2 linked regions of the Lepisosteus oculatus genome follow. The protein of the gene in region 1 interacts with the protein of each later gene in a biochemical or structural test. Links are inferred from orthologs where the notes say so. Each region holds a gene or a part of one and is shown on either strand. Other genes may lie near its edges.

Region 1 (3,907 bases):
AGGTATCCCGGCACGCACCGTGGACAATACACCCACCTGTAACACGCAGGACGGAGCAGTTGATGACCTTGCTAACACACCCACGGATGTGAATTCACCCTGTGGGTCGTGTGCTTGTTTCGTAGGGGCGGGCATCTGTGACTGTGTCGCCCTGCGGCTAATGCGAAATCAACGTGTTTTTTCCACATTCTGTCGCGTGGACACTGTTCCCTGTCCCTGTATCTCCAGGAAAGCAGCAGAGAAGCGGCGATCTGCCTGCAGCTGTTGCCTTGTCTGCACATCTGTCAGCATGTCCGCACGCCGTCTTTAAAACCGCCTTTTAGTTATTTTTATTAGTGTTTTGTTTATCGAAGAGCATAAGAAAGGCTTCAAACGAAAGGAGGGCAAGTGCTCTCTCGAGCTGTTCTGGGAAAGTCTCTAGGACGTGTGAGTACACCTGTCTCGGGTGTCTTTGCTGTTGTCCTGCTCTGGTTTTGCAAAGCCCTCTGGGACATTGTCATGTAAGCTGCCCCAGCAGTTACAGATCATTACTAAAGCTCCCAAAATGAACACAGCTGCACAGCTGGGGCAAACTCCACCTGCCCCCACAGGCTCTGCCCTTATGGGCAGATCTGAGCAGAGGGTGGTCTCGGTCAACAGTGATGAGCTGACCAACCAGTCTGCTGGCAGTCTGAGACTGAGGCCGTCCAGTGAGTCCAGCAGACTGGACCCCAGTTCTCTGTGTCCTGGTCCTGGAGGAACACTGCTGGTGCTCATTCCAGCATGAACTGGGGTACGAACTGATCTGCTGGCTTGTTAGGACTTGAATTCAGCTTGTTTCTTTGGTCAGTCCTGAATGCCCAAATGCCCACATTCAAGCTCACTGTTTGCAGCTGACTGTGCACGGAGTGTCACTCAGTTGTTCCTGAATTTGCTGGCTCTTATTTCCGGTTAAAGAGCTCCTGCTAGTTAATCAGATATGGCTGGGAATGAGACTATATTAGGGCACACCCTCAACGGGAGGGGCATTGCATTAGACACGCCCATAGTAGGAGTGGCACTGTCAGCCATGCCCACAGGTGTGGGGAGACTCGCATGTCCCTACATCCATAGCAACATTATATCAGACACGCCCAGGGGTGGGAGAGACAGGACACTTCTCAGACGCGCCCACGGGTGGGAGAGACAGGACACTTCTCAGACACGCCCAGGGGTGGGAGAGACAGGACACTTCTCAGACACGCCCACGGGTGGGAGAGACAAGACACCTCTCAGACACGCCCACGGGTGGGAGAGACAAGACACTTCTCAGACGCGCACAGGGGTGGGAGAGACGACACGTCTCAGACACGCCCATGGGTGGGAGAGATAGGACATGTCTCAGACACACCCACGGGTGGGAGAGACAGGACACTTCTCAGACACACCCACGGGTGGGAGAGACAGGACACGTCTCAGACACACCCACGGGTGGGAGAGATAGGACATGTCTCGGACATGTCTCAGACACGCCCACAGGTGGGAGAGACAAGACACCTCTCAGACACGCCCACGGGTGGGAGAGACAGGACACGTCTCAGACACACCCACGGGTGGGAGAGACAGGACACTTCTCAGGCGCGCCCGGGATATTTCCAGGATCTTGGACGGATTCCTCAGGCCTCTGTGGACAGGGGTGACACCTGGCGGGCTCTTGGGGGTGAGCAGGTCTCAGCCCACAAGCGTTGCCTCTCGCCCTCTCGCCCTGTGCAGGGGGCATCTGGAAGGCGGTGGAGGAGTGTGTGTCCTTGGGGGGGCGCTCTTTCGCCATGTTCCTGGGCTCCCAGCGCTCGTGGCAGCGCCCCCCCCTGGACGAGAAGGCGGCGGCCAGGTTCCGGGAGGCCTGCCGCGAACACGGGGTCGAGCCCGCCTTCATTCTGCCTCACGGCTCCTACCTGATGAACTGTGGCTCGCCCAAGCAAGGTGCGTGAGCAGTGCCCCCATTCCAACTCTACTGGTGTGTCTCTCTGTCCAGATCTGTGACCTGTCTCTCTCTCTGTCCAGCTGTGTGTGAGATCTGTGACCTGTCTCTCTCTGTCCAGATGTGTGTGAGATCTGTGACCTGTCTCTCTGTCCAGCTGTATGTGAAGAGCTGTGACCTGTCTCTCAATTCAATTCAATTCAATTCAAGGTGCTTTATTAGCATGACCGATAGGTACAATCAGTGTTGCCAAAGCAAATAAAAATAATAAAATTAACATAGAACAAAACAAAAAATAGAAGTAAAATAAAATCTACAGACATGTTACAGACATTTACAACAAAGACATATTATATAATATTGACATATACTGTAGGCGGCTGGAGCATTATTGGGAGACGGACTCACTGTTCCTCAGGCTGTGACAGGAGATCACATACTGGGCTGCCAGATCAAAAAGATCTCTCTCTCTCTGTCCAGATGTGTGTGAAGAGCTGTGACCTGTCTCTCTCTCTGTCCAGCTGTGTGTGAAGAGCTGTGACCTGTCTCTCTCTCTCTCTGTCCAGATGTGTGTGATAAGAGCAGGGTCCTGCTGGTGGACGAGCTGTCGCGCTGTGCTCAGCTGGGCCTCTCCATGTTTAACCTGCACCCCGGGGCGTCCCTGGGTGACATCACCACTGACCAGTGCATCCAGCGCATCGCCGAGGCGATAGACCACGCCCACCGCCAGGTGCCTGCTGTCATGACGGGTGAGCTGGGCCTGCAGACCCTTCACACACACTGACCGGTGCACACAGACACACCCTCACACACACTGACCGGTGCACACAGACACACCCTCACACACACTGACCGGTGCACACAGACACACCCTCACACACACACTGACCGGTGCACACAGACACACCCTCACACACACTGACCGGTGCACACAGACACACCCTCACACACACTGACCGGTGCACACAGACACACCCTCACACACACACTGACCGGTGCACAGACACACCCTCACACACACACTGACCGGTGCACACAGACACACCCTCACACACACTGACCGGTGCACACAGACACACCCTCACACACACACTGACCGGTGCACAGACACACCCTCACACACACACTGACTGGTGCGCAGACACACCCTCACACACACACTGACTGGTGCGCAGACACACCCTCACACACACACTGACCGGTGCACACAGACACACCCTCACACACACTGACCGGTGCACACAGACACACCCTCACACACACACTGACCGGTGCACAGACACACCCTCACACACACACTGACCGGTGCACACAGACACACCCTCACACACACTGACCGGTGCACACAGACACACCCTCACACACACACTGACCGGTGCACAGACACACCCTCACACACACACTGACTGGTGCGCAGACACACCCTCACACACACACTGACTGGTGCGCAGACACACCCTCACACACACACTGACCGGTGCACACAGACACACCCTCACACACACTGACCGGTGCACAGACTCTCCCTCACACACACTGACCGGTGCACAGACTCTCCCTCACACACACACTGACCGGTGCACAGACACACCCTCACACACACACTGACTGGTGCGCAGACACACCCTCACACACACACTGACCGGTGCACACAGACACACCCTCACACACACACTGACCGGTGCACACAGACACACCCTCACACACACACTGACTGGTGCACACAGACACACCCTCGCACACACACTGACTGGTGCACACAGACACACCCTCGCACACACACTGACCGGTGCACACAGACACACCCTCACACACACTGACCGGTGCACAGACTCTCCCTCACACACACTGACCGGTGCACAGACTCTCCCTCACACACACACTGACCGGTGCACAGACACACCCTCACACACACACTGACTGGTGCGCAGACACACCCTCACACACACACTGACCGGTGCACACAGA
Region 2 (3,907 bases), on another chromosome or scaffold:
AGGGAGGAGAGAAGGAGCAGGTGAAGGAGTGAGGAGAAGCAGAGAGAAGGAAAATCTGTTAAAACCGCATCGACAGCTGCGCCTGAAAAGACGGCATTAAATTAAAGAAGCAGCGGCATTAAATCCATCGGTTTCTCCTTTTACAAGAGCCGAGGCTGACAATGGGAATAATTTAACTGGGAATGATTTTCACGTGGTTCCCTGAGTGGACTCAGCCCACACGGTCACTCCCTGGGGATGAGCCAAGCTCTCAGCCTGTCAGTCAGGACTCGCGCGACGTGTGGAGCTGGAGATAAAAGCGTCAGGGTGTGCCTGAAGGAGGCCGAGGAAGATCTCCGCCTGGAGGGGCTGGCACACTGCCGCCCGGCAGCGCAACGCCATCTCTGTGCCTGAGAGAGAGCTGCTCGGGTCAGCCGGCCGGCCCCCCGCCACATTCCTGGCCGCTCCATGGAGACGCATGGAGACGCCCATTGTCATGGAGATTCGGGGGCCCGGGGAGGGGGCAGAGCCTGCCAGAACACACACACACAGGTCCTGTCCCTCACACCTCCTTTCAGCAATTAGCCACACAGCCAGCTGGCAGAGGGACGCGGAGACACAGCAGCCACAGACCCGACAGACAGCGCCAGCGTGCCAGACAGCGGCTCTGTCCCAACAACCTGCTCTCCCCCAACCAGGACCCCCTGTCGCCGGGGAGCTGGGATCACAGGGACTCCACCAAAGCGCAGGTCAGTGACTCACACTGGCAAACACAGCAGCACAGACCTGCAGCTTTCTGGGGACCCGGGGTTCCCCCATGACTGCAGACCAGGTGGCAGTGGCCGTTCAGGCAGTTCGGGGGGACCAGAGCAGCGAGCAGGACCACCGGCTCAGGCCTCATCTGTCTCACAGGGACAAAACAGCACAGTGTCCAGCAGTTCCCAGCACCAGCAGAACTGGGCTCATCTGGACCAGTCTAACCCAGCCAATCAAACCGATTCAGTACTGAACAGGCCAGGAGGAATGAAAATCAACGAGGACAAGAGAGGGAAACTGGCACAGAAACTGTGTTTCAGCTGTGACAAGAAATAAGATGTTTCGTTTCTCCGTAGCATTCTGTCCAACACCACCCTGGGAACAGCCAGCGAGAAAGCAATAAGGACAGAAACATGGGCTCTGCAACAACCCCGGACACCATGTAGCATGTTCCAGCAGCCAGAAACACCAGGTGAAGTGTGAGACTCAGAGCAAACGTAGGGAAGCAGTGAGCTCTGGGGTGAACCCCGTCATGTGCGTGACCTGAGCTGCAGAACACATTTTAACAGCTGAAGCAGCGAGGCAGGCGTCTGACATCACTCCCAGGGCACGTCTACCTCACACACAGCAGCAGACCTGTGTCCACTAGTGCCCATCGGCACTTACACTGGTCTACAGACCACAGAGCCAGAGCCCTGGTGACGCTCGCTGGGCAGCCTGCAGCACACACCCCTGTGGGCACAGGACACACCACACTGCCCAGCCGGACAGAAGCCAGGGCAGAGAACGTCAAGCCACGACATGGAAAAACATCACTGATAAGTAGGAACAGAGAAAGGTGTGAACCAGTGAAAGTTAGATTTGAGCTCTGCCAGTGCTACCCTGGGAGGCATCGGCTCTGTCATCCGATCTGAGCTGCCGACGAGCCTGATTCCCGCAGTTAACCAGCCAGGAGCGCCGGAGACCCGCTCTCCACGGACCTGACCTGCCTCACCGCGGCGCCCAGACCCTCTGCCCACAGCGCTGGAAGTTGTCAGGTCTGCCGCTCCAGCGTGCGAACTTCGCGACACGCCCCTCTCACCTGACTCGCGTGTGCAGAGCGCGGGTCGGACCCGAGTCTCCTCAGCTGCATGACCCCCGCCCCCGCATGTGACCCCAGCCTTCCTGCCCCCGAATTAGCATTCCCATTGTCACCCTGCCCGGACCAGCAACCTCCCCCCAGTCTAGGGCACACGAACCAGTCTGGCCGCTTTCTCGGCCCGTCAGGGTCGGGGGCTCCGCCTGCAGGTCCAGTCTCCCCCGCCGAACCCGGAGCTGCCCGCACGGTCCCGCTGGACCCCGTCTAAGCGGCTCACCTGCTCCAGATGGCCCCGGTTCCATCCCATTCACTCTGCGGAGCCGATCCTAGGAAAGTCCCGGTCTTCCTCACAGATCCCCCGGCTGCACCGCCGACGGCTCCGTATCCTTGTTCCCAACCTGCTGGTGGGCTCCCCGGACCCCGGTCCCCGATCGGACCCCCAGCCGAGACGGGCGCCTGGAGGTGCCGATACCCCGCCGGCTGGGCGATGCGCGTCCGCAGATCTCGGGATGCTCCGAGGAGGCTGGCGCTGCCGTCCCGGCCTCCCTGCTCAGCTGCGTCCCGGCTGGGCTCTGCGGGCTGACCGCTCTCCGCTCGCTCCGGACTCCACAGCGGAACAAAGACACGCCAACCCGCAGCACAGCTCATTCCTTAAAAGACAGGCGGCAGGGGCGTTTGACACGCTGCTGTCGGCGCCCTCTGGCGGCGAGGAGGACCGACCCGCTCGCTTCACGAGGTTGGTCCTTTTTATCCCCTCAAAAGCCTCTGGGAAAGATGCACCAGACGCTTAGCACTGCTCACGCCGTATTTCCTGTGTAATAAGTGGTCATTAATCGAGTCTGTAAAAACTGACACGGTTTTTATTGCCTGAAATAATTAGAAGTACTTTATTCCAGCAATGCCAGTTGAGATCAACTTCACCATCACAACAGAAACCTTGAGACCGTACTTCTGCTGGAGTAGATTGCTGAACTGGGAGGAAACTGGTCTAAGAGCTAAACTTGGAAGCCACCTCTCAGATTTGTTCTGTGTCCTTCTGGGCTCCAGCACAACGCAGGAAGTAATTAACTCTGTGTTTGTGTATTTATCACTGAGTATTCAAGGTGAAACACAGAGAAACATCTCTCTCTGGAAGTAGCCAAATGCTCTGGAAAGACTAAGTCCCAGTAACACAGTGTATATGTGCATAACTAAGTGTTTTCAATTATTTTAGGCTTTAAAGTGGATGGTATTTACTGTAGAAGCAGAGCTCAGGCAGACTGACATTTTTAAAATTGAACAAGTTTCAAAAAACTAGTCCATGAAAGCAGGGTTGAAAGTATGTGTGTTTGCTGGGTAAGTTTCATGTTTACATTTAAGCACTTTGCACCCTGTCAGAAAGTGCTTGCGCATAGGGACACCCACTGATGTGTCATCACGGATAAATTCACACCAAGTTTATTTACGACTTTCACGTAAAGCGAATATTCTCACCTGGAGGCATGTTGGTGAGGTAAATGTCTTCTGGGAAAACTGGCCCTGGAGAGATAGTGAGTGAGTGAGTGTGTCCTGTTGCGAGTGTGTGAGTGTGTGTCCTGTGATGGGCCGTCGTCCTGTCCAGGCTGTACCCTGCCCTGTGCTTACAGGTTAGGCTCCAGCTCCCCTGTGACCCTGAATTTGGAGAAGCTGTTAGAAAAGGGAAGGATATAAATCTTCTCAACAACATAGCTATACAACTCCCTTCCCGCAAGGACTTGAAAAGGTTTTTAAATGCATCTTATTTTTATTAAATACACAAAACAGAGAAAGAATTTCTTCCCCACTTACAGGTAGTCTAACTGCTGCACAGTCACACAGTAACAGGAGAGCTGGTAGTACAGTTTCCTCCTCCAGCAGTGCTGCAGAGCACAGGCCCGGGCCGCAGGACAGCCCTGTCATGTCATGGCCTGGCCAACAGCACTTCTGACCCACATCGACCTCCTGCCTGTGCAGAGACTTGCAGCGACACCGTCGCTCCCTTTGATGCCGGGTGTTGTCAGCTGTATCACTACTGTGAAAGATGCTCACTTCAAAAAGGAAGGGTCCTGCAGCAGTCTCTCAATCCAGCAAGCTAAA

The links.
Region 2: the proteins of tnrc6ba (region 1) and ago1 form a complex in vitro, tested with the Homo sapiens proteins (2 studies listed by BioGRID and IntAct). The link is inferred for Lepisosteus oculatus from reciprocal best matches to the Homo sapiens genes TNRC6B and AGO1.

The regions. Positions count from the first base shown.
Region 1 is NC_090707.1:38,383,035-38,386,941, reverse strand, and holds the start of tnrc6ba (trinucleotide repeat-containing gene 6B protein), read right to left. Parts: upstream 2,506-3,907; 5' UTR 2,348-2,505; intron 1,942-2,347; coding exon of another isoform or gene 1,732-1,941; intron 3-1,731; coding exon of another isoform or gene 1-2. Other genes in the region: probable endonuclease 4, read left to right, coding at 1-2, 1,732-1,941, 2,506-2,688.
Region 2 is NC_090706.1:142,243-146,149, forward strand, and holds the start of ago1 (protein argonaute-1), read right to left. Parts: upstream 2,547-3,907; 5' UTR 2,116-2,546; coding exon 2,091-2,115; intron 1-2,090.